Linked DNA regions of Mus musculus: regions 1, 2, 3, 4 and 6 are each reported to be linked to region 5. Evidence: microRNA targets listed by miRTarBase, many of them from high-throughput screens and not tested one by one. Region 5 holds a microRNA gene; each other region holds the end of a gene's coding sequence.

What was found. The annotated mature microRNA mmu-miR-467f reads AUAUACACACACACACCUACA and lies in region 5 at 2,223-2,243, opposite strand. An mRNA with a match to its seed (bases 2 to 7 or 8) in the 3' UTR can be bound and repressed. Matches are read on the target gene's strand: a 7mer-m8 pairs with bases 2 to 8, a 7mer-A1 pairs with bases 2 to 7 and ends in A, and an 8mer does both.
Region 1: miRTarBase lists Nodal as a target of mmu-miR-467f. Seed matches in the 3' UTR shown: 7mer-m8 at 2,925-2,931.
Region 2: miRTarBase lists Vps26a as a target of mmu-miR-467f. Seed matches in the 3' UTR shown: 7mer-m8 at 4,694-4,700 and 7mer-A1 at 3,480-3,486.
Region 3: the mRNA of Id2 is a reported target of mmu-miR-467f. Seed matches in the 3' UTR shown: 7mer-m8 at 2,424-2,430.
Region 4: miRTarBase lists Pou3f3 as a target of mmu-miR-467f. The part of its 3' UTR that is shown has no 7-base or 8-base seed match.
Region 6: miRTarBase lists Wdr12 as a target of mmu-miR-467f. Seed matches in the 3' UTR shown: 8mer at 3,393-3,400.

What each region holds. Positions count from the first base shown.
Region 1 is chr10:61,422,615-61,427,851 of GRCm38, reverse strand. It overlaps Nodal (nodal), which reads right to left. Exons shown (of 3, transcript NM_013611.5): 2 at 4,155-4,870; 3 at 2,514-3,368. The coding sequence ends at 3,216. Among named protein-coding and RNA genes, the nearest start is that of Nodal, 7.3 kb to the right of the region's middle.
Region 2 is chr10:62,451,891-62,457,060 of GRCm38, forward strand. Vps26a (VPS26 retromer complex component A) reads right to left here. Exons shown (of 9, transcript NM_133672.3): 9 at 2,953-4,968. The coding sequence ends at 4,855. Among named protein-coding and RNA genes, the nearest start is that of Supv3l1, 4.7 kb to the left of the region's middle.
Region 3 is chr12:25,091,053-25,096,553 of GRCm38, reverse strand. It overlaps Id2 (inhibitor of DNA binding 2), which reads left to right and starts at 462. Exons shown (of 3, transcript NM_010496.3): 1 at 462-891; 2 at 1,180-1,243; 3 at 1,978-2,755. The coding sequence starts at 544. The coding sequence ends at 1,236.
Region 4 is chr1:42,697,219-42,702,719 of GRCm38, reverse strand. It overlaps Pou3f3 (POU domain, class 3, transcription factor 3), which reads right to left. Exons shown (of 1, transcript NM_008900.3): 1 at 2,510-5,501. The coding sequence ends at 4,081. The region is part of intron 1 of Gm46091 (predicted gene, 46091); the gene reads right to left. It overlaps 2900092D14Rik (RIKEN cDNA 2900092D14 gene), which reads right to left and starts at 2,384. Exons shown (of 1, transcript NR_027891.1): 1 at 1-2,384.
Region 5 is chr11:69,633,197-69,637,196 of GRCm38, forward strand. Mir467f (microRNA 467f) reads right to left here and starts at 2,323; the gene lies at 2,204-2,323. It overlaps Fxr2 (fragile X mental retardation, autosomal homolog 2), which reads left to right. Exons shown (of 17, transcript NM_011814.2): 1 at 1-202. The coding sequence starts at 122.
Region 6 is chr1:60,073,701-60,079,201 of GRCm38, forward strand. Wdr12 (WD repeat domain 12) reads right to left here. Exons shown (of 13, transcript NM_021312.5): 13 at 3,168-4,541. The coding sequence ends at 4,464. Among named protein-coding and RNA genes, the nearest start is that of Wdr12, 21 kb to the right of the region's middle.

The DNA.
Region 1 (5,237 bases), not on the chromosome of region 5:
ATGGACAGGTCCACAGAGAAAGGAGGCCTACCTTGTCAAGACAGTGTAAAGGGGCTGGAGAGATAGCTCAGTGGTTAAGAGCACTGGCTGCTCTTCCGAAGGTCCTAAGTTCAATTCTCAGCAACCACATGGTGGCTCACAACCATCTGTAATGGGATCCAATGCCCTCTTCTGGTGTGTCTGAAGATAGTGACAGTGTGCTCATATATAAAATAAATCAATCATTTAAGAAGAAGACAAAAGACAGTGTGGAGGTTAGGTTGCTCGAGCCTTAGTTCCAGCCTTGCTGTTCAGGAGCTTTGCTGCCCGTGACATGGTTCTTAGATCTTATCAGAATGAAGAAATCATTTTACAGGTTTTTAGGTCAGGAGCATCTATGCCTAATGCCAGTACAACCGGTTCTTGTAAAAAATCAAATCGGGCTTGAAAGATGGCTCAGGGGTTAAGAGCACTGGCGGCTCTTCCAGAGGTCCTGAGTTCAATTTCTAGTAACCACATGATGGCTCACAACCATCTGTAATGGGATCCGATGCTCTCTTTTGGTGAGTCTGAAGACAGCTACAGAGTACTCATACATAAATAAATAGATAAATAAATCTTTAACAAAAACAAAAAAACCTCAAGTGATACACACTCCCTTCACTTGCTTGGCTGAAGCAGTATGTAATACTGTGGGTTCCAGACCAGCTACACTGTGAGACTCTTCTCAAAATATGTTAAGCTCAGCTGGGTTTGAGAGAATTGCCAGCCTGTGGTGAGCCGCCATGCAGGGGTGGGTTCTGGGGTGGGGGGAAGGCAGGGGGAGATCTTCCTACTATAACAGGTTTTTCTTTTTTTTAATTTAATGTATATGACTACACTGTCACTGTCTTCAGACACACCAGAAGAGGGCATCAGATCCCATTACAATCACATGGTTGTGAGCCACCATGTGGCTGCTGGGAATTGAACTCAGGACCTCTGGAAGAGCAGCCAGTGCTCTTAACTGCTGAGCCATCATCTCTCCAGCCCCCTGTATAAGGGGGTTCTTAAGGTGCCGATAAACCCAGGTTAGAGTGCAGAGTGTCACAGCTGTGTGCTTTCCTGTGTGCTTTCCCTCTTCTGGTTACTGTCTTTCTCTGCTACTGCTTACCCACCCACTGTCTGCCAGGAAGGCAAGGCAGTTTCCTCTTGGCCCTGCTTGCAGTTGCAGAACACCAGACCTTTGCCTTGGGAGCAAATAACTATTGCAGGCCCACATTCAGATAGAAATGTCCAAGGCCTTCAGCCAAGCCATGGACTAGATCCAGAACCATTGTTAGGAACTGATACCCAGATAGCCCTGGCCAGGGCCTCATGGTGGTCCTGCAGCCAGCATGGTGACCACAATCAGCACGTGTAAAGTGGTCACTTTGTGTCCTTATCCCCCACTTGACATAGGGCAGTGCTTTGTCACCAGGGAGCTTTGTTGTCCCAAGTTCACAGAACAGCCAACTGTAAACACTCCCACAAGCTGAAGCCACAAATAACCATGGCCTTTGGCCCTGTCGTGCTGTGTAGGGACTGTAGGCACCTGCTTCCCAGTGTCCTGGGAGGCCACTTCCCTCCAAGAACTTAAACTCCACAGTGGACCTGAGGCCTGGAAGTCAACACTTGGTAGAGGTGAGTAATCCCAGCATTTGAGAGTCAAGCAAGAGAGAATCGCCTAGAGTTTGAAGCCAGTCGGGACTAAAGAGAGATCCTGACTCAAAACCCAAGGCAGAACCCTGTGGTGACTGAGCCCATTTCTCTGCTCAGCGCTCCTGGGTTTAGCTTTCTCAATCCCAGGCTAGGCTGTAGCCAGCCCAGTCTCTGGACCAGTTTCACTGGCTTGGTTCAACCAAAGCTGGAACAAAAGTGGATGAGTATCCTGGGAAAGGGGAGAGGGGGTGTTTCCTGTGGACTTCAATTCCACCCCTCAACCTTGCCAAAAGAACAGAGATACTCAGATGTCTCAGTGGTAGAACTTTCTACTGCAAGCCGAGCCTCCTGCTATGCCACGCAGAACCTGCAGTTAGAACCTGCAGTTAGGGTACCCGGGCCTAACAGGCCTTAAACTTTAAGGATTGAAAGACTCAGATGGAGAAGGCCTAGAGGACATGAAGCCCCATGGCCCTCCCTGTCATGCAGCTTTTTGTTTGAGACAGGGTCTCACTGTGTAGCTCTGATTGTCCTAGAACTCAGAGACCTGCTTGCCTCTGCCTCAACTGCTGGAATTAAGGGTGTGCTCCACTACACACCTGACTTTTTCATGCTGGGGTTTAACTCAGGGTCCTACGTGTACTAAGCAAGTGTCTGCTACTAGGCCAGTCATTCCCAAGCTCTCAGAGGCACTTCCCACATATGCATCAGGCTCTCCCACTTTTTGTTTTACTAGGGGATGCCAGGCAGTGAGTTCCCCACACCTCACATAACCTCTGCAAAAGCTAAGACCACAAGCCCATCCCCTGCTGGATCGGAACTCAGGAACCTAGAAACACATTGTGAGACAGAGGTGAATTGTCACAGACTTTTAATAGACTTGGGTTGTGTCTGCCAAGCATACATCTCAGGACTCTGGCTTCTAAAGTCCACCATGGCCAGTCCCCTCTTGGACAAGTGCCCACCTCTCTGGTCAAAGGCACCAACTGGCCCTGGAGAACTGGACAGTGGCTTTTTTAGGCAAGTCATTAGAGATCAGAGAGCCCCTGACCAAGGCCAGTATGTCACTGCCAGCCAGCCAGAAGGTTGTGGGTCTTCCCTACCACAGCTTGAGGCAGGGAGAACCAAATGGCTCGTTTATAATCTAATAAAATATATACTAATCTTGAGGGAGGGACAGCAGGTCACAGACCACTTTTGAGAATACAAGAAAGTTACAGATGGCATCAAAAATAAATACATATATATATATATACATATATATATATACACCCCAGCCTTTGCACACAATTTCAAGCAGTTCATAAACCCTATTTCCAGGGAGCCCAGCGAGCCAGCCCCTGCAAGGCTTCCCCATCCTGCCATGCCACGGTAGCCTCTCTCTGGCTTGGCAGGTCTAAGAGCACTGTATGCACAGGGGGCGGGGCTTTTCTCTTTAGCTCCAGCAGGCAGAACTCTTCTAACGTTTCTGCTCCCTGGATAGACACAATGGAGTCTCCTTGGAGTTCATCAGCATTGTGGAATGCAAGCCAATTTCAGCACTCCCCCTGGCTCTGTCAGAGGCACCCACACTCCTCCACAATCATGTCCTTGTGGTGTTCCAGGAGGACCCTGCCATTGTCCACATAAAGCATGCTCAGTGGCTTGGTCTTCACGGGGGCACAGCACGTGGAAGGAACCCGGTGGGGTTGGTATCGTTTCAGCAGGCTCTGAAAGGGAGGAAGGAGGGAGGGTCAGTTTGCATTTGCTGGGGCAAAGGCAGAGTTACTATTTCTGGCTAAAGTGAAAACTTAGCTTCTGGTACAAAAATAGGAAATTATTTTCATTCATAAATAGAATGCTGCCCATGGAACCAGCTCACGAACCCCCCCCCCCACCTCACACACACACACACACATACACACACACACACACACGCGCGGGCGCGCGCCATGCCTGTGAAACATGTTACCAGCCTCGAAAAAGATAGCATTCAGCAAATAAGCAGCTTAATGTAATGAGTAATGAGCTAGATCGCGAAGACTTGCCTAGTCCAAATTCTGAATGTCAGAGCTGGAGGAGCAGAGGTCTACTCTATTCCCTCCCCATCACCTAATTATGGGAACAGGGAAAAGCTGGGGATGTGGCTCAGTCCTTTGCCTAGCATGGGCGAGGTCCTGGATTTGATCCCCAGTATTGTAATAGTGCATGCCTGTGATCCCAGACGAGGGGTGTGAAGGCAAGAGGATCAGCAGTTCAAGGTGATCCTGGGCCATGTAACGAGACAGACAGACGGACGGACGGACTGCCGGAGGGAGGGAGGGAGGGAGGGAGGGAGGGAGAGAGAGGGAGAGAGGGAGAGAGAGAGGGAGAGGAGAGGGAGAAAGGGAGAACTAGAGAGAGAACTAGATAGAGAGAGCGCCCTCTCCCAATGCTTGAACACACACACACACACACACACACACACACACACACACACACACACACACACACCATCTAGCAGCCAAGCATCATACCTGGATGTAGGCATGGTTGGTAGGATGAAACTCCTCCCCCACAGGGTTAGGACACTCGCCCTCACAGCGATAGGCATTGTACTGCTTGGGGTAGATGATCCAGGAGCCCCAGCCAATCAGGTTGAAGTCCACCTGGAACTTGACCCTCCTACACAGTTGGCTTCTGTCTGGCAAATGATGTCGGCGTTGCCTTCTGCCCCATCCGCCCCTCTCTACAGACAGCTGTCCCTCCTGGGCCCGCCAGGAGCTCTCAGCTTCCCAAAGCAAAGTGGCGCCCCCTAGCTGCCTCTGCTCCTGAGGCCGGTTGGAGTAGAGCATGAGCACATTGGTGCTGGCGACAGGTACAGGTGGGGTGTAGGGCTGATGCCAACACTTTTCTGCTCGACTGGACACCTGCTTTTCCAGTGCCCTGGGGTCCTTTAGCCACTTGGAGAGTGGCTTGGTCACCTCCAGGACTGTGCTGCCTGAGGCAAACGTGACCTGAGAAGGAATGACGGTGAACGTCTCCATCCAAATGCGCTCCAGGCAGTCAGCGGGGTCCCGCTCTGGATCCCCCTTGGCCTGGTGGAAAATGTCAATGGTGAGTGGGCCCTCAGTGGGTATGTCCATGGGGCCCGGCAGCTGCAACCGGAGCTCCGCCCATACCAGATCCTCTTCTTGGCTCAAAAAAGAGAAGTCAAACGTGAAAGTCCAGTTCTGTCCGGTCACGTCCACATCTGGGGGGCAGGGTGAGAAATCATAGAAACAGTGTGAGAGAGTTCTGTTAACCACAGCTGGACAGGCTGCCTGCCACCCACCTCTCACCCTCACCCACCCCATTGGCTTGCAATATTATTGAGTCCATCGGACTTATTTTGGCTTTTTGAAGTAGTTTCATACTGAGGCAGAATTGGAACCTGCTATTTTTGTTTGTTGGTTGGTTTTCTCGAGACAGGGTTTCTCTGTGTAGCCCTGGCTGTCCTGAAACTCACTCTGTAGACCAGGCTGGCCTCAAACTCAGAAATCCACCTGCCTCTGCTTCCCAAGTGCTGGGATTAAAGGTATGTGCCACCACTGCCCAGTGGAACCTGCTATTATTTATCC
Region 2 (5,170 bases), not on the chromosome of region 5:
GTTAATGCTCAACCATCAACCTTTACAAATGAAAACCTCAGAACCTTTCTGTTGTGTCTGGCCAGTAGATCACAAACTGGGTTCTAGCCTGGAAAGGCATTTTGGAAACCTGGAAGAGAAGAGGGGCTGGGCTGCGCGAGATAAGGAAGGAACCAAGACAAAGCTCTCTGCTCAAGATTCAATTTTTACTATTTCGGCACTCAGTTATAAAGCAGGGGAAGGGGGCCCAATTCCCGCCAAATAATCTCGGGGTCCAGTAGCAGGGTGATCACGTGTGTGGCTCCAAACAGCAAAGCCGCACGTTCCAGCAGTGAGCGTGGCAGAACGATTGAGCGGGAAGCTCCACCCCTGAGCAAGCAGGTTTCAGGCTGGGGGAGGGGAGACTACACCTTTCTTTTCTTACTTTCTCTTCTTTTTGTTTAGGTTTTCTGTTGTTTTGTTTTGTTTTTTGAGACAGGGTTTCACTTTTGTAGCCCTGGCTGTCCTGGAACTCACTTTGTAGATCAGGCTGGCTTCAAACTCACAAAGATCCCATCTGCCTCTGCCTCCCAAGTGCTAGGATTAAAGGCATGCATCACCACATCTTGGTGAACTCGTTTTCTGAAGACTCTCAGGATCTGATAAATCACCTTAGTTCTGATAGGTTATTTCTCTGCCGGTGAAATGAGCCAAATCAATCCAGATTATAGTAAAGGCAGGTTTATTGGAAAGCTGTTCTTTGGCGATTTCACTGTCCACAGGGACTAAGGCCAGGGAGTCACCATTGAGGGGTGGATAGAGAAAGGGCTTTCAGAGAGTGGGTGAAGGGGAGGAGAAGTATACAGAGTTCTCTTGTTGTCTGTCTCAAGGATAGGAGAGCTGGTCTTTGACTTAGTGACAACCAGAAGGCAACCTGGGGTATATCACATTGCTTTTCAGGGAGCAACCCATTACCCTCCTCACCTGTTACATGAGCAGTATTAATCCCTTCCCTGGGATAATACTGACAGTTCCAGTAAGTTTTATCCTCTGTCTTTTGTCTATAAGCCTACTCTCCCTCCTTTCTTCCTAGAACAAGAGTTCTCCAGCCATATAAGCACGTACATTCCTGGGCCTATCTCCTCCTCCCTGTGCTCAACTCAAAGAGGCTCGTTTTCAGTATTGCCTTCTCCAGTCTGGTCCCTTTGACCCTTTGATTCCCAGAGTTAGGTAAACTTTTCTCCATAATGGGGACCAACTATTCCAACCAAGTCTCCCCTATGATGCAGTATTAAATCTCCCCACAGTTTTAGAGAAAATTACAGTGTTACCCTCATTAAGGAAAAACTGTTTTTGTGAGGTCAGTTGGCCTTCATGTAAAGTAAGCTGGCCAGCAGCAGGCTCCCTGGACCCCACCACTGCCCAAGCCATCTGGCTAAAGGTCAGAGGGACCCCAGAACACCTCAATCTGTTTCTTTATATTGACCATTGGCTAACCATTGTACAAAATCCCCATGCCTGGCTCAGAATCTGTGCCCTCCAACACTCTCCCACTCTCCTAGTCTGGAGTGTACACCCCCCCCCCCCCTTTGGAACCCTTTGTTAGTTCACCCCCCTTGGAAACAAGACTCTCCCTCTGCCTTACAATTCTCACCCTACTCCAGGCTCCCCCACCCCTCCCCAATTAACTCTACATCCCTCCTCTTCCTCTTTTCTTTCTCTTTGTCCACCTTCCCCAATGTTGAACTTAAAAAAAATGAGATCAAAAAAAAAAAAAAAAAAAGAAGAAGAAGAAGCCAAGTGATGGTAGTATATACCTTTGACTCAAGAGTATGTCTCAAGTTTCAGGCCAACCTGGTCTACAAAGAGTTCTAGACAACCCGAGTCTAAATGCTGAGACCATGTCTCAAACAAAATAAAACAAAACAAAAACTCCAACCAAGAAAACAAACAAAAAACTGAGGTTCCCAGGACAACCTTACTAGAATTTGAGTGGAGCAAGGTGTATGGAATTGGACATAACTAGGGTGAAGATGTATTCTGCAATGTAGAATCTGGCCATGATGTAAGAAGCCAAGTACTAAGATTTTCAGAACATCCAAGTATTTAAAAATAGAAAGGTACCTGTTTTCCTCACTATGCATAAGGGTGAAAAACTTTAAATCTGTAAAGTCTCTGCAGAGGTATATGCCACTGGAGGATGCTTTCATAAATGATCAGCAGTTAACCCGACATAAACAAACCAGGAGGTAGAGGGGCGGATTAGAGTTAGCCTCTGTTGACAGAGTGCTTGCTCAGCATGCTGCTTAAGATGCTCAAAGCCTTGGGTCATGAAGTCTAAGCACCATGTAAACCAGGCATGGTGGTGCAAGCCTATAATACCAACACAGGGCGGCAGAGACAGAGGACCACAAGTTACAGATCATCTTGGTGTGTAAGTTCAAAGCTAGCCTGGACTACAAAACCCTATTTTATTATTGTTTTCTTAAATGTATTTTAAGGTCATCCTCAGCTATATAGTGAATTTGAGATCAGTCCTGGCTGTAGAGACCAACCTAAACAAAACAAGAAATGTGATTACTGTCTCTTCAATCCTGGATAATCTTGTTTTTATGTTAATGCCCCAATATATGAAAAACAATCTTTTTTTAGATGGGGGTCTCGTTACACAGCTCTAGCTAAGCTGGAACTCACTATGTAGACCAGGCTGACCCTGAGGTAGTCCTCCTACCTCTGTAACACACATGCTGGGACTATACGTATGCAGCACAACTCCCATTAGAGTCTGATTTTACCGTCTAGGTGAGATCTAGGTGTGACCGTTTTTCTAAAGCTCCTGAAGTGATCCTGGCATGTGACTAAGATTGAGATTATCTATGACACTATATTCTGCAGGGGGCAAACAGATTTAGCCTATAGTTAACTTTTTTATTTATCAAGTTTTGACTGAAATCCCCAAATTTTAAGTTGGTTATGCATCAGAAAAGAATCAAATGGAATGAATAAGCATTTTATATGAGTTTTAAGCAAATTAATTAAAAGCATTATATAACTACTTAAAACTGAAGCTGGAGAACCCAGAGATGGTTCAGTGGTCAACAGCACTGGCTACCTTGGTTCTGTTCCCAGCACCCCCATGGCCGCTCACAAACACCTGTAATTTCAGCTCCAAGAGATCTAATGCTCTCTTCTGCCCTCCTTGGGCACTGCCCACATGCCTGCACAGACATACTTGCAGCCAAAACAGCAATACATATAAAATAAATAAAACCTAAAAAAACAAAGCAAAACAAAACCTTAACAAACCTGAAGCTAGTACTACTAATAAAAGTTCACTGTTGTGACTGTCTTCCTAACCACTGGGCAATGCTGTAATGACAAGATTTGAGAATAAAGTCATTTTATTTAAACTACAAACTTAAGTTTCTGTTTCAAATTATTTATTTTATATATCATGGTTGCACAACTTGAGGCTGGTTAAATACAATTGTTTTTCAAAATCTCCTTGAATATTTCCTAGATTATACATGCAAGTGACCATGAAAATATTTGGCATTTTGAAACTTTGAGACTCTGAACAGGCACTTACATGAAGGAGAACATGGCCGTCCTTAGAAACCCACATTGACAATAGCTGCTCCAGGACGTGGTATGTGAACCTTTGGCCAGGGCTGGTTGCTGGCCATTTTATCAAAGTGCCATCATAGTAAAAAATAGGTTTAAGGAAACATAAGTTGGGCTGTTGAGCTTCCTAGAAAGTAAAGTTAACTGACAAACCTGTACTGAGGTGTATCAAGGAACACTGGTACAGAAACCAACAAGCCCTGAGTGAGAGTGGCCCCCACACAGGCTTCCTCCTGCCCCATACGCCTCAGTTGTGTGTCTGTGCTCAGCTGACTGCAGCCTTCTTTTCAGAGAATGGTATGAATTTAGTGTTTTTTGTTCTGTTTGGTTCGGGTTTTTTTAAATAGACTACGTGAAGTCAAGTTTGAACTAGCCAATATTCCAGTTAACAAGAAATTGTCCGGCTATGGACACTTCGGCTGGTTCTCCCAAGCTCTCTCATTCCTAGGTGACGATTTGCATACACATGGAAAGTAGTCCTTAAATTAAAAAATATATACATGTTTCAAAGTCTTTATGGAAAAAAAATGATACAGGTTTAACAAGTTCTAAAATGCCAATGTGTCAACTCCACACTGCAGAACCTACATGATGATACAGAAAGTCATAGCAAACGTGGTCAATAAGGGGCAAGAGGGCCACGATGACAAACCATGTCATCCCTGGGGTGACAATCTTTCATATACCTCAGAGATCCCAAAGATTAAAATTCAGGAGGCTGTGAATGGTAGACCCAGAAGTGCCTACCATGTAACACCAGGTTGGTTTCTGATCCACATGTAAAAATAAACACAATTCTCAAAAATACTGAGGAGCCATGCCTTAAAACTTTGTAGGACATAAGGGCTGCTCAGGTTTTTCTCATTTTACTTGAACAAAAATATTTAATTTTTTGCACATAGAGAATAAGAGGTAATCATTAGCATGAAAACAGAGAAAAGGATTTTCAACATTATGCATAAAGAAAGCAAAATTACAAATACCAGTCTACTCACATGAAAATCCTTAATGTTTATGCTTCTGAGTGCTTATCAGTGTGCAGTAAAAAAGAAAACAAAAAAGGCAGCTTAGGAATTCTCCAGTGTTTCCAAGAAGCACTTTTTAAAATGTATATACACAAAACCTTTAATCATACTGTAAAATAAACGCAGCACTCTAGGATAAGGAAGACTAGCAGACGTGGAGTTGGGATGTCCGCACGCTGCGACTGTCGTCAGCCAGCTGAGCTGCTCTCTTGGCCCGGTTCTTGCACTTGCTGCTCTGCCCACCTGCTTACATCTCAGGCTGCTCCGCAGAGGCCTGCGAGTCTGGAGATTCAAACCGCTGGTGAAAGTTCGTCCTCTGTTTTCTCAGTTTCTCGGGTGCTTTTCTCCACAGGATGATCTCCTAGAGGAAATGCAAAACCGAAATGGAGTTCTCTGCTATGTCTTAGATGGTCACCATGGAAATACTGGCTGCAACTTCAATTTTAAGCTGTAAAACAATCCCAAATGCTCTGTACGAAAGCCCCCAACTTTCCTGGGTGACCCTTCCCCTCTCTCCGTACTCACAGTCAACCACCACAAATCCTAGCTGTATTGCTTTAGAA
Region 3 (5,501 bases), not on the chromosome of region 5:
ACACTACAAATGTGACTTCCCAAAAGCGCGCTTCTTTTCCCTTCTGCCACGGTCGCTGTCTTCCCTAACGCTAGCGACCTGTGACTTCCCGTCTGCTGTGCGGAGAGAGTGGGGCTGCTGGAAGTCCTGGGGGCGGGTATAGCTAGCTCCGGGCACACCCCCGGGGCAGGGGTCCTGCCAGCTCTGGGAATTGGAATAAGGCGGGCACAATTGCACACTCAGGCCCCCTGGGCGCCCAGCGCACACTGTACTCAATTTGCCACCCCAGCTGGGCTCTCGCCCGCTCCTCCCACCCTACAGGCATTGGCTGCGAACGCGGAAGAACCGAGAGCTCATACTCACCAATGGGAGAATTCGCCTGGTATGATGGACGGGAGCCCTTCCACCAATGGCAATTCAGGGATGCCCGATTGAGCGGCCAGGGCGAGTGCACATAAAAGACGCCCCGCCCGGCTCGCGCTTCATTCTGAACCGAGCCTGGTGCCGCGCAGTCAGCTCAGCCCCCTGTGGCGGCTCCCTCCCGGTCTTCCTCCTACGAGCAGCATGAAAGCCTTCAGTCCGGTGAGGTCCGTTAGGAAAAACAGCCTGTCGGACCACAGCTTGGGCATCTCCCGGAGCAAAACCCCGGTGGACGACCCGATGAGTCTGCTCTACAACATGAACGACTGCTACTCCAAGCTCAAGGAACTGGTGCCCAGCATCCCCCAGAACAAGAAGGTGACCAAGATGGAAATCCTGCAGCACGTCATCGATTACATCTTGGACCTGCAGATCGCCCTGGACTCGCATCCCACTATCGTCAGCCTGCATCACCAGAGACCTGGACAGAACCAGGCGTCCAGGACGCCGCTGACCACCCTGAACACGGACATCAGCATCCTGTCCTTGCAGGTGAGACTAGCTTGCAAGTACGCCACTGCCCAGACGCTCCGGGTCTCCCGAGCTGTCACTCTTAAAGCCCATCGTAGAGACAGGTTCATTAACTTTATTTTTGAGGAAACTGTATATTGAGCGTCATGTGAAATCGCTACTTATAAGTTCTGTGTGGGTTGCATCTGGATCTGCGCTGTAGCATGATCCTGTTTCATGGGACTTGTTGGCACTTTTGTGAAAGGAGGAGGGGGGCTACCTTCCTTTAAGATTACCTAATATCCTGCCTTTTATCCTCTTTCTCCCCAGGCATCTGAATTCCCTTCTGAGCTTATGTCGAATGATAGCAAAGTACTCTGTGGCTAAATAAATGGTGAGTGTTGCGGGTGCCTCCTGTGTGCGCGTTTCGGTAATGTGCTTGTGTGTCTGTTAAATGTTTGGTTTGGTAAATGCATGCTTACTTCACTGTGTTACGGGTGCCGCTTGACTTACCACATAGGCATGAAGGGGCTTGTAGCTGTGGTTGCTCAGGACTACAGAACAGTTGCCTTTACAAAAACAGAAAAGAAAGAAAAAAAAGAAAGAAAAGAAATGCCAGTAACTTACTATGAAGGTGTCAGGACCAAGTGTGGCTGACTTTTATGAGCCCAGTGGCGGTACACTGAGGTGGTAACCTCAGCTGTAATTAATCTTATCGCCACAAATTCCATAGTGATTCTCTTTTCCCAAAACTGTAGTCCTCTGAGATTTCTCTGGCTAGCTGAAGACGGCTACCCCGAGCCTTACCCCTGTGCTCTGGGATCCAGATTTCCATATCTGTTAACTAAAGGGCTGTTTTCAATCAAATAATTGTTACAAGAAGCAGACTGGCGCCTGTGAGCGGGCTGTTAGAGATCCAAATAGGAGACTGGGTTTGGGAAGTTTTCCCCTGGAGTCTCCGCTATTTTCATGTTTAATTTGTGCTGCTGGGGCCGGGTATGTGTGCCGCATCTGGACGCCAGGGTTTGGTTAAATGCTCAAACTGTGGCTTCCTCGGCGCCAGGCTCGCCCGCCTCTGCCCTTAGGTTACATTCTCCTAAACTGCCTTTCTCTCCCAATCTTTTGCAGGCATTTGGGGACTTTTTTTTTTCTTTTTACTTTCTCTTTTTCTTTTGCACAAGAAGAAGTCTACAAGATCTTTTAAGACTTTTGTTATCAGCCATTTCACCAGGAGAACACGTTGAATGGACCTTTTTAAAAAGAAAGCGGAAGGAAAACTAAGGATGATCGTCTTGCCCAGGTGTCGTTCTCCGGCCTGGACTGTGATACCGTTATTTATGAGAGACTTTCAGTGCCCTTTCTACAGTTGGAAGGTTTTCTTTATATACTATTCCCACCATGGGGAGCGAAAACGTTAAAAAAAAAAGAAAAAAATCACAAGGAATTGCCCAATGTAAGCAGACTTTGCCTTTTCACAAAGGTGGAGCGTGAATACCAGAAGGACCCAGTATTCGGTTACTTAAATGAAGTCTTCGGTCAGAAATGGCCTTTTTGACACGAGCCTACTGAATGCTGTGTATATATTTATATATAAATATATATATATTGAGTGAACCTTGTGGACTCTTTAATTAGAGTTTTCTTGTATAGTGGCAGAAATAACCTATTTCTGCATTAAAATGTAATGACGTACTTATGCTAAACTTTTTATAAAAGTTTAGTTGTAAACTTAACCCTTTTATACAAAATAAATCAAGTGTGTTTATTGAATGTTGATTGCTTGCTTTATTTCAGACAACCAGTGCTTTGATTTTTTTTATGCTATGTTATAACTGAACCCAAATAAATACCAGTTCAAATTTATGTAGACTGTATTAAGATTATAATAAAATGTGTCTGACATCAATGCCGGGATTCTGAATGGTTTTTGAGGTGTCTTGTGTTTGCTTGGGGCACCTCCTTCTGTTCTCTCACCCCCTCTATCACATGTGTGTCCCGTGGCGGCCCAGTAGACTGAAACATTGTTGCCATTAGGAGGGATGGGGACTGGAAACGCAACACACCTAGCAGTGTGGCTCTGTGCCTGTGCATTGGGACTAGATTTTAAACGGGACTGTAGAAGACTCCCCTTGAGTTCCTAGGTGTGCCCTCTAGAAAGACACCTTTGGAGCAGAGAGAAAAGGGGCTTTGGCTGTCACTGGTCACCCCTGGGGGTTACGCTTTTAAACCTGGCCACGAACTCCAGAAGTCCTTCGTCTCCTCCACCTGTGGCTCACCCAGGCCTGCCTGGGCCAGCTGCTCTCCCAGTTCTGTGGCTATTAAGTGCTCTTCACCCTTGACTGCACTCTGGACCTCAAGGAACGGAGGGAAGGTGCGAGAAAAGCCCCTCCCACTCACCAAAAAAAAAGGTATCACCAACATTTCCATCCAACTCAGAGCCTTGAGGACACCGGGCCGCTAATTTGAATATGCATTCAATAGGTGCTTAGATTTAGTTCCCAAGTTGCAAGTGACTTGGTTGGGAAGGGGTGGTTCTGGAAAGTAGTCCAGGGAAGACAGGCACAGCCTAGAGAAAGGATGGGACAAGAGGTACGAGTATGTGAGTCGCACCTGGTGCCACTTTCTAGGCCAAGCAGGTGTTTGGGTGGCGCCTGCTAGTCTGCCTTGGCTGCGGTGTTTCCTCTCCCCTGACACCGAATCCATCCTGGTGAATGGAGGAGGGGCAGCTTCGGTTCCGGTGGTCCCCGCCTCCTTCCTGCAGGGCGGGGTTGTCCCTAATGAATATACCCGGGATGCACGCTTTGCCCATTACACCTGGGTTGGAGACTGCGCGAGCGAGAGCCCTTGGCAGCCGCCCAATACACTAGTCACCTGTTGCCTACTATAGCCCCTGCATGCACACCGGGCCAACCCAGGTGCGCTCTGCCATCCCACCCACCCTCACCCTTCTGCCCCGCCACACACACACGCACACACACACACACGCACACAAAGCGGGAGAGAAGTATGAGAGAACAAGTTGCTGCCCCAACCCTGCCTGTCCTCAGCTTCACGTCTGCCGGATCTCATTCTCCCCTCGGATGGCTTTGGGGATTTGACCCTGAAGTACAATTGTGCCATCGGAACTGCAGGCCCCTTCGGAGCACCTGTAGGGTCGCTGGACAACCAGCGACACGTGAATGACTTCTAATCAGCCTCAGCCTGGGGGAAAGTGGCTCCTTTGGAGGGGACTTCTAACTGCAGCTGGTCGCGCCGTGGAGGCCGAGCGCCACCTTCTGGCAAATATGAGGATCGCCGCTGGCCTACGGTTCTGCTGTACACAGGCATGGATGCAGGGAGCCGGTGGCCAGCAGCGTTATCCTGACCAAGCCTTCTGAAAATGATTGATGTCATCCCTAAAGACTGCCGCTAGCACGAATATATAAATCCGCTCCACCTCTTTACTGCGTACAACCTATTTGCCAATTAGCATCTTACTAGTTATGCTATCTCCCGCCTACCAGTTTGTGACTGGAAAAATGACTGCACAGTTGTTAGGTCAGAAAGTTTGGCAGCATGCTTCCGCACTTCTGTCCCTAACTTTTTTTTTTCCTTAATTGCTTCATGCCTTTTAACCAGAGCCCCAAGTGTTACTTTATCTCAGTGGTTTTCAACCTGTGGGTCGTGACCTCTTTGGGGTTGAATGACCCTTTCATGAAGTCATATCTTAAATATCCTGCAGATCGGATATTTGCATTATGATTCACAACAGTAGCAAAATTACACTCATGAAGCAGCAACAAGAACAATTTTATGATTGGGGGTTACTACAACGTGAGGAACTGCATAAAAGGGTTGCAACACTGGTAAGGTTACGGACCGCTGCTTTATCGGAATGAAAAATGAACAAAGCCTCCTTACGCGAGACCTTAATGCCAGGTTTGGTTTTTTTTTTCTTCCTCTAAATAAGATGTAGGTCTAGAGGGTTTGTGCACATTTTATCAGTTTCAAAAATTCTTTCAGCTTCTAAATTTGAGTAATTTGAGATTTTTTTAGAAAAAGATTTATTTATTGTACATATGAGTGCACTGTAGCTGTCTTCAGACACACCAGAAACGGGCATCAGATCCCATTACAGATAGTTGTGAGCCACCATGTGGTTGCTGGGAATTGAACTCAAGACCTCTGGTTGAGCAGTCAGTGCTCTTAGCTGCTGAGCCATCTCTCCAGCCTGAATTTTGAGATTTTTAAAATCATAACATTGAGGCAAATTTAAACATTCTCATGCTTCATTTGCTGATATTTTTCACCATGTAAGTTTTAAGTTTCCTTACATTGGTTTATTTATAGTGCTAGTTATCAGACCCAAGGCCTTGATAATACACGGCCGGCACGCACCACCAAGCTACACCCCCAGCCCTTGACCTTACTCTTCTCAGAACGCTTTCTCTGTTCCATTAACAAGCTGTGGTTTCTAAGATAACTCCGTCTCCAGCACGATGCTGGGTTTGTTTCTTTAGTCTGTGGTGATGTCTACTACAGATTCTGCTAATGCAGTACCTTCTTTGTAATTTTGAGAAATAAAGAACTTTTTTTTTTCTCTGCACTGCCCTGCACTTAGAATAATAGTCACACTGGTGTCAAACGATACTGTAGGTTAGTTTGTTCCCAGT
Region 4 (5,501 bases), not on the chromosome of region 5:
GGTAATGAGCAAACACTGGAGGCCAGGAAGAAGCAGAGGGAGTCTCTAAGATCAATGAGAGAGAGAGAGAGAGAGAGAGAGAGAGAGAGAGAGACAGAGAGAGAGAGAGAGAGAGAGAGAGAGGAGGAATAACCCTTAGCTAATACTAAGAAGGGAAAACGCAGAGCAACAACAGCAAAGTGACTAATATTTTAAATACACCTTGAATTATTTATTGTACAGACTTGTCAGGGGAAGGTGATTGGGTAGATGGGGTGATCAAAGCTTGGATAGTGGCTCGGGAGCCACACTCTACTGTAAACTATAACTGGGCCTAGTTTGAAAGTAGCCAAGCTGATGGACCAGAACTTTGTCACTTTCCTTTGGGTTGGAAGGGGAAGAGTAGGCAGTCTGAAATGGAGGAAACAAATGGGCAGTTTACGAAGCACAAGACATTTGTGCTGCATAAGAACACAATGACCAAATTCTTTTTTTTTTAAAGACCTGGTGATATACAACAATATGTTCATTATTTACATGTGTAACAATATGAGCCTTAGCACAAAAACTCTCATATCTTCTCTGCTGTGTTTCAACCATCAATTTCATTTTGTAAATACATTCAAAGGATTGACTTTAAAACAAAAAGTGCAAGCGTCAGCTTACTTTACACAACACACAATGACAAGCAAAACTGCTTGGTTTGCCTATCTTCTTCAATCAAAAACGTACTCTGCTACCCATAGATCTGGGCTTCTTCCAAAGTAACCAGCAAATAGAAGACAGGGTAAAATCTAACATTAGCTCTTTTGTCATGAGCTAAATCAAGAAAGCAGATACCTCCTGGCATTTAAAATAGACCCATTCCTTTCCTAGTCAGGCACCACCATTCCAGCAGGAAAACAAAACAAAACATCAAACAAACAAACAACAAAACAAAACAAAACCTCGCCCTTAATCAAACAACAAAAATAAAACAAAAACAAAAACCCACCAAGATCCCTGTCACACACCAGTGATGTGTTCCATTTACAAACAGCCTGGCCCATTCCTCACTTTCAGGGAGGCCTTCTTGGCTTACCCTCAGAGCCTCTAAAACAACAACAACAACAACAACAACAACAACAACAAAACAAACAAATAAAAAGATGATGACTCTCACCCTACCCCAACTCCAGGCAGTGTGATAACAATAACAGGAGAAACAGAAAACAAAAGCAAAGAGAAAAATAAAATGTGGTTTCTTATCTGTACCTTCATGTCTTTCTGTTTAATAAATATGGCCTTTTCCAGATTTCATGAATCAGAATGCTGGTGATTTTTTTTTTTTTTACTACAATTTGGTATCTAAAATAATGCAACCCAAATACATGGTTGTCTGGCTGGGCTCAATTTGTGCTATTGGGTCTGTCTGTGAGAAACTATTTCTTGTCCTCATAGTTTCCCAGAATTTTTTAACCCTTGAATCTATATTGGGGGAGGGGAAGCCAGCAAAGATTAGGCAAAAGGTGAATGGTAGCTGAGATTGGGGGAAATGCCTGTGTAAAAATCATTGTTTTTCCACCTAAGTACTTAAAAAAAAAAAAAAAAAAACCACATACAATACAAGGACTCAACCAATCAGAGCCTTTCTCCTCTTTATCTCTCATACCCTGAGGTGTTGTATTTCCAGCTTGTAAATACTGATGCATCAACTTGATAAATGTGACCATCCTGCAGGGTCTTATCTAAAAAGTGACCAAAATAACTAAAGCCTAGGCATTGGTAAGGAAGATGAAGAGTTACTATGCCTCTGAAGGACCAAACCACAGAAATGGGCAGCCTGGAGTCTGCGCTAGGGACAATCTCAGCACAGAGCAAAGCAGGGCTCAGTACCATCATCTTTCATGAAAGAAATATAGGAAGAAAAGCAAATATAGGCTTAATAATGGAAATTTAATCACACATAGTTATCAATGGGGAGTAACTGATATCAAAATATTTCATGAATTTATAAGCTATCCTTCGCAACTATTGATCCACAAAGACAGAAAGAGAAAGAAAAGAAAGAAAGAAAGAAAGAAAGAAAGAAAGAAAGAGAGGAAAGAAGGAAGGAAAAGAAAGGAAGAAAGAAAAAAACAGGGATATATTGGAAGGCAAGGTGATCAAAAAGAGGCTGACCTAAGAGGAACTGTATTTACCATGACTGGCTGGTGGGCATATTTTCACTGGTGATGTAGCAAAACACAGGTACTTTCAAGAAAATGGCTAATATTTATAGATCACTCAGCAAAAACACTAGAGACACCCATTGAAACTGAGGGTAAGGAGAATATTGTGAAATTTATGGACCAACAAGGAGTGAATAACCACTATTGCTAAAGCAACTCCTTTTAGCAACCCTAGCCTGTTCTGGAGGTTTCAAACATACCTTTGCGTGGGGAAGCTCCGCTCTCTTAATGCTATGACTTAAGGGTCTGCATTAGTAAAAAAATATTTTCTAAAGGATTCTTTTCTTCCCACACAGTGTTTATGCATCAGACACAGACCATTTCATTCTAACAAATTTATTTTCTCAATCAGCTCTTACGGAATCACTACTCAAATTAAATTACAATCAAATGATCACATCAAAAGATACCCTTATTACCTAACAACTGTCCATATTTTCATTTCATTTTGATTTGTGCTCGTCTGAAAAAAACACGTAATACAAGATCTGGGGAAAAATAAATTACCGTTTTGCAGCAGTTCATAAGTATTTTGAATAAAATATTAAAAGAAGTCATTTAATGAAAATATAAAGCAAATATTTTTAGATCAACAACGGATCTAACGATTCTATATTGCCGTCATTTGAAAAGTCTGTTTATTAAAACCTACCAAAAACACTGCTTGGAAATGGCAGTATTACATAATCACATCCGCAGCACCCATTCAATCAAAGTTGGCAACGCATTGAGGGCAGAAGTCAAGGGAAGTGCGCGGTTGGTGCTGTCTTTCCACACCCTTTTATCGGAGTCAGTCCAGAAATAAAAAATAAAAAATGTTAATAAAAAAAATATTAGCGGCGGAATCTTTAGGCATGGTCCACCCCGAGCGGCAGTCAGCAAAGCCCGGGTTTGGTGGTGGAGGCCTGGCCCTTGTGGGCGGTCTCAGAGGCTGGGCCCGGGCCCCGCTTTTGTGCCCTCTCCGCTAGTGGATTGCGGCTGGACGTACCTACCCTTCAGCCTCACCCAGCCTTGGCTCTTTCGCGATGCTTTTATTTCCAAGTTTACTGCGGAGGATGCTTTCTTTTGGCTTTCTTGTTCAGTCTGTGAACTTCAGAAGCGGCGAATCTTCCCCCCCAGACTCTGTTTCTCCCTTCTTCCCATTTCTTAGTTGATTTATTTGTTCCCCAAAGACTTGAATATGGCCAAGAAAAACACTGTCCAAGAGCAGAGTCAGACCTGCAGGAAACCTGGTGCGTCTTTCTTTTCAGGTCGCTCCCCATAAAGAAAGTTTCCATGGATCTTTTAGGCAGCCCTTTTGGAAGAAGTGGAAGAAAGAGGGGGGGGGTGTCTCTCTCTTATCTCCGAGGCAGGTGTTCTCCACCGACGACGCCATGCAGGACATCTCGGTGTGGACAGTACCTCAAGTGTGCAGTTTAGGTGCGTTAGGCATCTTCACCCTTCTTTCAAAACAGAAGCAGAACACCACCACAGTATAAACGAGATGTCCCTGTTGCCCCTTTTCCTCTTCCGGTTTTGTTTGTTATATATGCATATAAAACAGTCTTGGTATTTATTATGCTTAAAAATTTTTTTGGTCCCTCCTTTCTTGGACTTCAGAAAGAGTCTCATCGGTCTCCAGCTGTCCTCCCCCCTCCTGGGGCCGTGGCACGCCTGTCTTTGGGCGGAGGGGAGGAGGCCTAGATGCCCTGGCACTGGCCAGGTGCTGGGTCTGCGCGGCGGCAGCGGCGGCGGCGGCGACGGTGACGGCGGCGGCGGCGGCAGCAGCAGCAGCGGTGGTTCTCGGCGGCGGCGGCTCGGAGACGGCGGCGACGGCGACCATGGCGGTGCTGACAGCGGCTGCGGAGGTGGCGGCGGCGGCGGCGGCCCTCTTCGCGCTGCGCCCCGGCATTCACTGCACGCTGGTCTGAAGCCCGTGGTGCGGTGGCGGTGTGTCAGCGCTCACGGTACCCACCTGCGAGTAGACATCGTCCGGCGTCTGCTGCTGGATGCCAGGGGGCGTCATGCGTTTTTCCTTTTGGCGTCGGTTGCAGAACCAGACCCGCACGACCTCCTTTTCCAGCTGTAGGCTGTCGGCCAAGTTGGTGATTTCCTGCGCCGAGGGTTTAGGGCACTTGAGGAAGTGGCTCTCCAGCGCGCCTTTGACGCTAACCTCGATGGAGGTCCGCTTCTTGCGCTTGCGGCCCTGCGCTGCGATCTTGTCAATGCTGGTGGGACTGCCAGTGCTCGAGTCAGCCTCCTCCAGCCACTTGTTCAGTAGCGGCTTGAGCTTGCACATGTTCTTGAAACTGAGCTGCAGGGCCTCGAAGCGGCAGATAGTGGTCTGCGAGAACACGTTGCCATAGAGCGTACCCAGAGCCAGCCCCACGTCCGCCTGGGTGAAACCCAGCTTGATGCGCCGCTGTTTGAACTGCTTAGCGAACTGCTCCAGGTCGTCAGACGTCGGCGTGTCCTCGTCCGAGTGAGGGTCGTGGCTGTTGAGCCCTGGCCCCGCGCCGCCGCCGCCGTGATGCGGGGGTCCCTGCGCGTGGTGCGGGTGCGGCGGGTGCGGGTGCGCGTGGTGGTGATGGTGGTGATGATGCTCCGCCAACTCGGGCGTGTCCCCGCGCACTAGCCCGGGGTGAACCAGGCTCTGGGCTCCACCGCCCGCTCCACCGCCGCCACCGCCGGGCCCCGGGGGCGCGCTCAGCATGCCGTTCACCGTGAAGCCTCCGGGCTGCGAGTACAGCAGACTCTGCGGCGGCGGCTGCTGGCCACCCGCCATGGACGGGAGGTGAGCGGCAGCGGCGGCGGCTGCGGCGGCAGCGGCGGCGGCGGCTGCGGCCCCCCAGCCCCCAGGGTGTCCTTGGTGAGGGGGCGGCGGCGGGGGCCCGAGGTGCGGCGGTCCGCGGTGATGCAGCGCGGTACCGGCGTGCAGGTCTTCGCGTCCAGCGCCTCCCTTCACGTCGGGGCCCTGAGGCGGCGGCGGCGGCGGCTGTGGCGGCTGCTGGGGGCTGCCGGCCATGCCCACCGCACTGCCCGACCACGGTGAGCTGGCTTCCACGGCAGCGGCGGCAGCAGCGGCGGCAGCGGCGGCAGCGTGGGGCAGGGCGGTGACCCACTGGTGCGCGTGGCTCAGCATATGGCCGCCGTTGCTGGCGGCCATGGCCCCCTGCATGAAGTCGCTCTGGACCATCTTGACCGAGGACGGGTCCCCCCGGTAGGCGCCCGAGGTCACGGCGGCGCTTCCCGGCTGCATGCCGCCGCCGCCGCCCCCCGCCCCGCCGCCGCCGCCGCCGCCGCCCCCTCCGCCGCCGCCCGCCCCGGCCGCGT
Region 5 (4,000 bases):
CCCGCCCCCCGCGGCTCCCCCTCCGGCTCCTCCTCCAGGGAGACGCCGGGGACCCGGCCCGGCCCGCACTCAGGGCTCTGTTTCAGCTGCTGCCGGGCCAGTCGGAGGTGGTGGCGGCGCCATGGGCGGCCTGGCCTCTGGGGGGGATGTGGAGCCGGGACTGCCCGTCGAGGTGCGGGGCTCCAACGGGGCCTTCTACAAGGTGAGACGGCGCGTCGACCCGGGCCACCCTCCTTAGCCCCCTCCCCCAGCCGAGGCAGGGAAGAGTGGAGCGGGATCGAGTTTCTGGAGCTTGGTCTTGACCCTTAGAACCTTCGACCCACGTTCCCACTCGAAACCCTCCCGTGGCGATCGTGGGAGTTAACCCTCGTGCTTTTATTTTGAGCTCGCTGTTACACCTGCTTTTATCAGCTGAAAACATGGCCATCAGGTCATTCCTGTGCGGGGATGGGAGCCCCGGGTCCCTTTGGAGAAAGCCCTTTTCCTAGCTTCTAATCGACTTTTCTTGTTTTTTTTTTTTTTTTTTTTTTTTTTTTTTTTTTTTTTTTTTAGTGTAGGCGATACTTCAGCTTTTAATCACATCACCCCTGCAGCCCAAGCACATGGAGGATTCGCATTCTTTTCCTACATGACCCCCTTGGGAAGGTCCACTGTCCCACATTAGGTCTTCAGGGAGCCTTCTGCCTACTGGCTCTAGACCATTTGCTCAACTTTTGGTCTTAAATTCCTGTTCCCAGGCTGACAAGAAATGGTCAAAACCCATCTGTGTTATTTAGCATTAGCATCTTTGGCCTCAGGTTTTTATCAGCCAGCCATAAAGTGGATTTGTTGGACAAGTTTGTCACCCACCACACCTATATTCCAAAATCACCTATGAGGGATGGATTCACGCTTATCTCTTTGACTCTAGATATATTTAGGTCATTCCTCTATCTTCTTGGTAAGTTTAAGCTTCACTGTCTCTCAAAGGCCATCTCAACAAGTTCTTATTCTAACAGATTTCTGCTTGTTGACAATCCTTCTGGAAAGAAAAAAAGTATCTTTCAGAATTGCTTCTTTAATCAGCTTTTTCTTTGCCTAAGATTTGATTCCTGTGAACTTTTTTAAGGGGTGTGGTTGGGACAAGATCCCCTCCCTGGCTGCACTTGAACTCTTCCTCAGCCTAGGATTACAGCTCTGGCGTTACTGGTTGAGCCACCATGCCAGACCAGACTTTTGTTTTTTCCTTCTTTCTATCCACCACCCACCCCATCTTCTGTATCTGTCCTGAGTCTATTCTGGATCCCACGCCCCAGATATTTTCTTCTTCTGATCAGTGGGGTTCTGAACATCTTTTGACTTTTATGAGTGGAATTGTCCCGGACACGTTTGGTCCCTCTCTTACTCTTCATCCTGGAGAGAAAGAGGAATTTCCATAGCATGAGATGGGTGAGAAGAGCCCCTTTTTCTTCAGGTTTCCTCAGGTTGTCTGTCCCCCTACCCTAGTAGAACTTCTACTTTCTTATGCCCTTGGAAATAACTTTCTCTGACTCTACTATGAAATTGTATCTTTTTTGTAGCTGAAAAAAGACTTAGGTTTGCCCTACCCCTGTAGATGGTTCCTACCCTCACTTCAACTGATATGCTAGTTATCCATTATAAAGGCCAGGCCATTTTTTTCCCTTTTCTGATCAAGTTCTTTACCCAGTGCCTATGGGTGCACATACCTATTAGCTTTAATGCAGCTTCTCAACTAAGTCTCGGTCTTTTTAGCTTGGTATTTCTGTATTCCTGTGTATCCTTGATGATGTCTACCTGTCTAGTCTGTGTATAGCTGAAGAAGGCTCCTAGCTGATTCTGTCACTTTCCTAACTCTTGGTACTTTTTCTTCAGACCAGAACAGTGTCTCTAACATTTCTGTTTTCTGTAGCAAAAGTCTTTAATTCTTTTGGCTTCTGAGAGGACACATTAATGTTTTAATATCTATTTCACCCACATTTGTATTACCTTTGTTAAAACAGTCTCCTCAGGCTGGGTATGGTGGTACATACTCTAACCCTAGTACTTAGAAGGCTAAAGTAGGATTGTTGAAGTTCAAAACCAGCATGGGGAATGGAATCCAGTCTAAAACAACCCAAACAAACCCAAAAAGTACTCTTTATTATGCTCTCTTTTCCTCGATATGTTAGTCTTCATCTGTATCCTTCTAACATCAAAATGTTAAAAATTCCAAAAAAGCTGTGTGTAGGTGTGTGTGTGTATATACATACATACACACACACACACCTACACACACACCCACCCCCGTTCGATTTCTGGGTACAGGATTTCTCTATGTAGCCGTGGCTGCCCTGAACTCAAACTCTGTGGGATAGGTCTGCCTTTGTTGAGTGCTGGGATTAAAAGCATCCACAACTACTCTTAGTTTGAAAAGTGGTTCTTAAATTGAGTATGAGATCAAGATAAGATATTTGCATTTGGTTTAAGGAAGCTCAGGAGCCATGCACAGCTGGGACAGATGAGTGCTCAGTTCCAATTAACTGTATGACATGGTTGGGCTGGGACATGAATTCTGTTACACATATGGGTATCCAACAGAAAGTCTCTCTTTTATCCTTTTATTCTGTGGGCCAGAGCAGTGATAGATTTGAGGGAAGCAGGGACAGGATTCTTTGATAGTATAGAGTTAATAAAAGCCAAATATTGAGTGTAGATTTTGTATTCTGGCCACTTCAGCACTTTCTGCTCCATGACTGAGTTAAAGACATTGCCTAAGTGTAATGTAGATACTTACCTATTCAAACCTTGCTGATTAATATTTATGACTCAGCAAACTTTGGTGTGAGTAAGGGATACTAACTTTTTAGATCTTTTACGTTTGGGGAGATTCTTTTCTCCTCTCACAAAACTGTTTTACTGTGATTTTTCTAGAGCCAGTAAATATCAGATCTGAGGTCTAAGTTATTTTAGAATTATCCTATCAAACTTGGCTTTTCTGTCAGGATGTGATGTGTTTTGTTAAGGTGGTTTCAGGTGGCTTGGGCTTTTAACCCGGGATGACCTTGGACTCCTGGTTTACTGTGGCCTTTCCTAAGACCTGGGATTACAGGTGCACACCATCAACCCCAGCTTCATAATGTGTTTTGTTTTGTTTTTGTTTGTTTTTTGAAACAAGGTTTTTCTGTGTAGCCCTGGCTGTCCTGTAACTCATTCTGTAGACCAGGCTAGCCTCAAACTCAGAAACCCGCCTGCCTCTGTCTTTTGTTGTTTTTTTTTGGGGTGGGGGGCAGGATATCCTGTGTTGCCCTGGAACTCACTCTGTAGGCTAGGCTGGCCTTGGAAGGTTTAGGCCACCACCAACCTGTTAAGATGGGGTCTTATTGTATAGCCTTGCTTTGTTGATAAGGCTAACCTTGAACTTGAGGTCTCATCTTAGCCTTCCACTGAAGTACATCCTCAGCCAGGTAGCCCTCCTCCGATCTCTTCCTTCTTTCTTCCTTTCCCTTTCCCTTCCTCCCTTCTTTCATTTTTAAAAACATTTCTCCCCATATAGAGACAGGATTTTTATACTTTGATAGCTCAGGTTACTCTGAAACTTAGCACGTAGCCTAAGCTGACCTCCAATTCTTAGACCCTCCTGCCTCAGGCTCCCCCCAAACAGCCAAAGCAGGTCGTATCTGAAGCAATATTCAGGGTTAGATGTTCTCATTATAAGGAAAGAATAGTTTTGTAAGTGGTGACTGGCCAGGTCTGTGAGGTGGGAACTCTGTATTCTCTAGAATATTATTGGTACATTTTCTCCTAAGCTCTGCCACTATCCTAGTTACTGTACTTAGGGCTGGTCCTTGAATATTGTTAGCCTTTTTTTTGAAGCATCTGGCTTTCTTACTGCTTTTGATGTTGAGGATTGAAATCAGGGCTTTATACTTGCTAGGCACACATCACACGGAACTATATTCTAGCCAAACCCCCCTTATCTAATCTATCTAGTGTTTTTTTTTTTTTTTTTTTTTTTTTCTTC
Region 6 (5,501 bases), not on the chromosome of region 5:
AGTGCCCTAAGAAATGAGCAAGGCAGAGTTGGGTGTGGTGGTGTGCACATTTGATCCCAGTACTCAGAGGCAGAGGCAGAGGAGGCAGAGGAAGGTAGGTATCTGTGAGTTCAAGGTCAGCCAGGTCTATACAGCCAGGGCTACAGAGAGAAACAGTCTGGGAAAAAAAAAAAAAAACAACCAACCAACCAAACTAACAACACCAACAAACCCAACCACCTCAAAACCAAAACAAACAAACAAGCCAAACCAAAACCCCAAACAAAACAGTAACAAAAACACCACCAAAAAACAACCAAAAAGTAAGGCAGCATGGCTTAAAAAAAACAAAAACAAAACCAACCAAAACGCCTTTACACACACACACACACACACACACACACACACACACACACACACACACGTACTGTTTTCAGACACCCCAGAAGAAGGTATCAGATCTCATTACAGATGGTTGTGAGACACCATGTGGTTGCTGGGATTTGAATTCAGGACTGTCAGAAGAGCAGTCCAAACACTCTTAAGCGCTGAGCCATCTCTCCAGCCCCCAAAACTCATTTTTAGAAAATAAAGGATTTAACACTTTTAAAATGTTTACATGAGATTGAATTAAGAATATACAATTGCTACTTTTCCATGAACATAAAACTTTTATACTATTAAAAATGTTATCCTTTCTCATAGGTTCTTACAACTGAAAAGAAGGTAAGATGACTTGGGATGTGGGGCTCCACAAATGAGATCCAAGCTGGTGGTAGGATTTTTTCCTTAAGGCAAGGTCTCATTATGTAGCTCTGGCTGGCCTGGAAGGCACTCTGTAGGCCAGAGTGGCCCTCAAGCTCAGAGATAGACCTTTCTTGGACTCCTGAGTGCTGGAGTAAAGGCCTTGGACACCATGCCCATTGTGATCTTTCCTTCTTTAAAGATTTATTTTTTTTTAAAGATTTATTTATTTATTATATGTAAGTACACTGTAGCTGTCTTCAGACACTCCAGAAGAGGGTGTCAGATCTCGTTACGGATGGTTGTGAGCCACCATGTGGTTGCTGGGATTTGAACTTCGGACCTTCGGAAGAGCAGTCGGGTGCTCTTACCCACTGAGCCATCTCACCAGCCCTAAAGATTTATTTTAAATGATTGTTTTGCCTGTGTTTATGTGTATGCATCGGATCACCAGATCACCTGGAAGTACAGTTAATGATTCTGAGTCCCAAATTAAATATTTCATAAGTTGCTTTTGTTGTAGGATCTTATCATAGCACAAAACCAAAACAAACACCAAGACACAGGGTTAATTGTATAATTATGTGCACATCTGTTGGGAGCCGACTCTTAGCAGAAAGCTGCTATCATCTCTGCAGCCATCTCGGGCAATTTACTTACATGTGGTACTTTTCCACTGTGATGAGAGACTTGTTTTCCTAGCATGTTTTTGCAAGCCTACCACAGCTGTACACACTCTGATAACATCTTGTTTTTCTCCTATACATCCTGGACCTGTGGTTAAGTGTCTCCAGCTGCACATATCACTACCCAGTGAGTGCATATATTACCCATAGTTGCCTTTCAATAAATGAGACAGGAGACTTGAACCTTGAGCAGATAGCCTGTGTTGTCTCCATTCTTCAAGTCCCTTGCTCCTCAGTCCCCACTCTTTCTCTTGCAGACCCTATTGACTGACCCACGGACTGGGTCACACATCATATTAAACAGTCATTCTTTCCCTAGAGCCTGGAAGGCATAGATATATGGCTATGCATAGTTGTTAAGTTCCAAATGGAATTCTAAGAGGGTATTTTCTGTATTCTACATAAAATATAAATTTTAAATGCCTTGCTTCCACTGGGTCTTCTCCAGGTAAAGCAAGGTTTTCTTTTCGTATTTTCCACGATAAAATATTATTGCTTCTAGGAATCTAAAGGTGGCTTCAGAGGAAGTAAAATTTCCTGGTGTATGAAGTATTATGTACACTTATGTTCTAACGGTATTCAAGCTATTTAGATTTTTCTGTGCCTCTCCCTCAGTTGGAAACAACCTGCCCCCTCTTTCACCTGTCCAAATGTGGTTCAGCTGCCTCTCAACATGAGATCCTTGACAGCTGACTTCCTTCCCACCGCTGTTTACAGCCTTTTTACTACCTCGTCTTCCTTTCTCTGCACTGGGACACCAGTGAGGCTAACTTCTAATGTCTGCCTCTCACTTTGTGCCTTTTCCCTAACAACATTCTGGAGTTGAATAATTCAGTTTTTCCCTTTAATTGACTTAATTAGGTATATTCAGCCTAAATTTGTGTGTGTGAGCACACCTATTTAACACAAGGCCTCAAACATGTTAACTAATGATATCTATCACTAAGTTATCCTCCACTGCCTAAGCCTAATTTTAAATTGAGGAGTTTTATTATAAACACTAATAACAGATATTGGTTAGGTAGGAGATCCAGTCTCGATGTATTACAGACTCCATTCCTATGAGACAGCATAAATAATCCCTATACTCCAATTTATCCCAGCGATAGGTGAGCAGGTCCAGGTGAACCTCAGAAACAAACTTGTAAAGCCTGTTTCTGCTAGAAGGAAAGGGACCATGGAGAGGAAGACAACGCTTGAAGAAAAAGAAAAGCATGTTAAAAGATGGCTAGATCCTTTAGTCTTGTGTTGGCCTCTTACTTTCCTGGTTAGGGACTAAGTTCTAAGCACTTAAATAGCCCGAAGGAGAAAAGTTTGGCAGATTAAGAGGCTTAGATACAATCCTCGTCAATGATACCTGGCCCCTGGCTTTTCGGGCTTCCCTGTTGAAATGGCCTGAACAGAAATAAGGTTGCCATGGAACCAGGATTGAGATTAAGACTAGGTAAAGGGCCAGTTTCAGATGCCACACCCTTTCTTCCATTTGTCTTTGATACATGGGCCTCCTCACCTTTGTTCTTCGGAATGCTTGAATGCCGTATGCGTACCATTTGTGTCTGGTGCCCAGGAGGCCAAATGTCTGAATCCCAGGAAATGGAGTTTCAGACGGCTGTGAGCTGCCAAATGGATGCAGGAAATGGAATCCAGGTCCTTTGCAGGAGCAGCAAGTGCTCTGAACTGCTGAGCTGCCCCTCCAACCCAGCCTTTTTACCTTAATCTTACTCATTACGTACTGCATTATCAGCCTAGACAGTTAAGTCAGGAAAGACTATTTTTTTTTTTTATTGCGTTTGAGTCAGGGTCTCTCTGTTTATCCCTGGCTGTCCTGAAACTCACCAGGCTATCCTTGAACCCACAGACATCCACCTGCTTCCCAGGTGCTGGCATTAAAGATGTGAACCATCACTGCCCTGCTGCTCAATGAATGGACAAATTAACATCTACATTGTTTTAATGCTCTGAACACTCAACAGTCTTATTTTCTTATACACACTACCTTTTAGTGTGTGGTGTTTTGTTGTTGTTGTTTTTTACTATTTGCTTTTAATGTTAGATGACTGTTTTCCCCATACTTTTATAAACTTCTTTTTTCTTTAAATTTATTTACAGGTTAGTTGTATGCATGCCACAGTATGTGTGCATGTGTGTGGGGAAAAGGACAGCTTGCAGGAGTTCAGACCTGAGAACTGAACTCACGCTATCAGAATTGGCAGCAAGCATCTTTAGTCACTGAGCCATTTTGATGACCCTCCTATAAGTTTTCATTTTCTTTATTTGAGACCGAGTCTCATCCTGCTCCTGACTTGAACTAGTTATGAAGCCAATCCTACTCAAGTCCCAAGCCTTTTGCTTCTACTTCTTAAATGCTAGGGTTATAAGTGTGTGCTATGATGCCTGGCTCCTATAGCATTATTAGTCTTTTCTAGATGTTTCTCTTCAAATAGCTAACTAAAAAGTCAAACTAAAACAAAACAAAAAGACAAAAAAAAACAAATTTACTACATTTGTACTATATCCCTTTAAAAAGTATACTTTCTGAAATTCAAGTTTTAGGAGTCTACATAGGGTAAAATGTAGACAGAATTCAGACCACATACTTACTGTATTTTATAAGCACGAAGGACAAAGACAGTAAAATGTTGCTATTATGAAAGATGAACTGTTATCCAAATTTTAAAAGGCTGCTTCCTGTCTCTGCATTGACAATGATATCAGAGGATTATCCATTGATTTCTTTCTTATGGAGACAGAGACTCAGGGAACCATGGCTGGCTGCCTTTAAGCTCACTATACAGCAGAGGGTGACCTTGAATTTCTGATGCTCTTGCTTCCAACCTCTAGGACTGGGATTACAGGAATGTGCTACCATGCCCATTTTTCTTTGGGCAGTGCTGGAGATAGCATGCAGGGCTGTGCACATTTTAGGCAAGCATTCTACCAGCTGAGCTGTACTATAAGTCCTCTCTCAAATTTGATTCAGTTTATGAAATAACAGTGAGACACTAAGAATTAAGACAAGACCCAACAAGGAAGTCTCTTCTCAGCCATTCATTTTCAAGCCCCCACATGGGAAGTGGTAGGGGAATAGCTGTAGGAATACAATTTATTGTCTGCTCCTCCACTCAGAAGTAGCTGTGAGAAAAGAAACAAGAAAGTAAATATAAATATACAGTAGTCAGATACGATTAAACATGACTGAGTTTTTGTTTTGTTTTGTTTTTGAAGACAGTTTCTCTTTGTAGCCTTCATTGTTCTGGAACTCACTCTGTAGACTGGGCTGGCTTCATGCTCTGAGATCTGTCATCCTCTGCTTCCCTAGTGCTCGGATTAAAGGCTTGCACAACCACGCCTGTCGAGACCTTCTTCACAGGAACATGTATATCCTATATACAGACCATTCCTGGCTTCTTTCCCTACTTTCACATATATATATATATGTGTGTGTGTGTGTGTGTGTGTGTATAAATAAATGACTTTATGTATGTATGTAAAACGGCCCAGCTTGAAACAGTATTTAAGGGGACAATTAGAACAAAACTTCTCAATTATATAAGCTGAACATCCTCTGTCTAAAATTATTCAGTATAGGTTGGAAATGTAGCTCACAGGTAGAGCTGAGCCCAGGTGAGCTGTAGCTCACAAGCTGAGCACAAGTGAGGCTCTTGGCCAACAGGCAACAGCAAAAGCAAAAAACTGCAAGCAGAAAAGGTCCCAAAGCAGTAGAATCTTAAGTTTTTTGAGTGTTGACATGAAGCCACAAGTGTATAACCTCTCACCCAACCTTATGTGACAGGTCACAGTCAAAAGACAGGCATGTTCAGAGTCTTTTATAAGATCACCTTCAGACAATGTGCATAAAATACAAAAGAAGCGAAAGAGAAGTTTACATTTAGATTAGGGTTCCATTCTAAAATACCTCTTAAATGTGCAAATATTCCAAAATCTGAAATGCTTTCGATCCAAAGCATTTCAGGTAAGGGATGTTTTCTGAAGACAAGTATTTATTTACACTATAGCATAAGCTGGCCTCAAACTTGCAGTAATCTTCCTGACTCAATCTTCCTGTAACTGAGGTCACAGGGATGAACTACC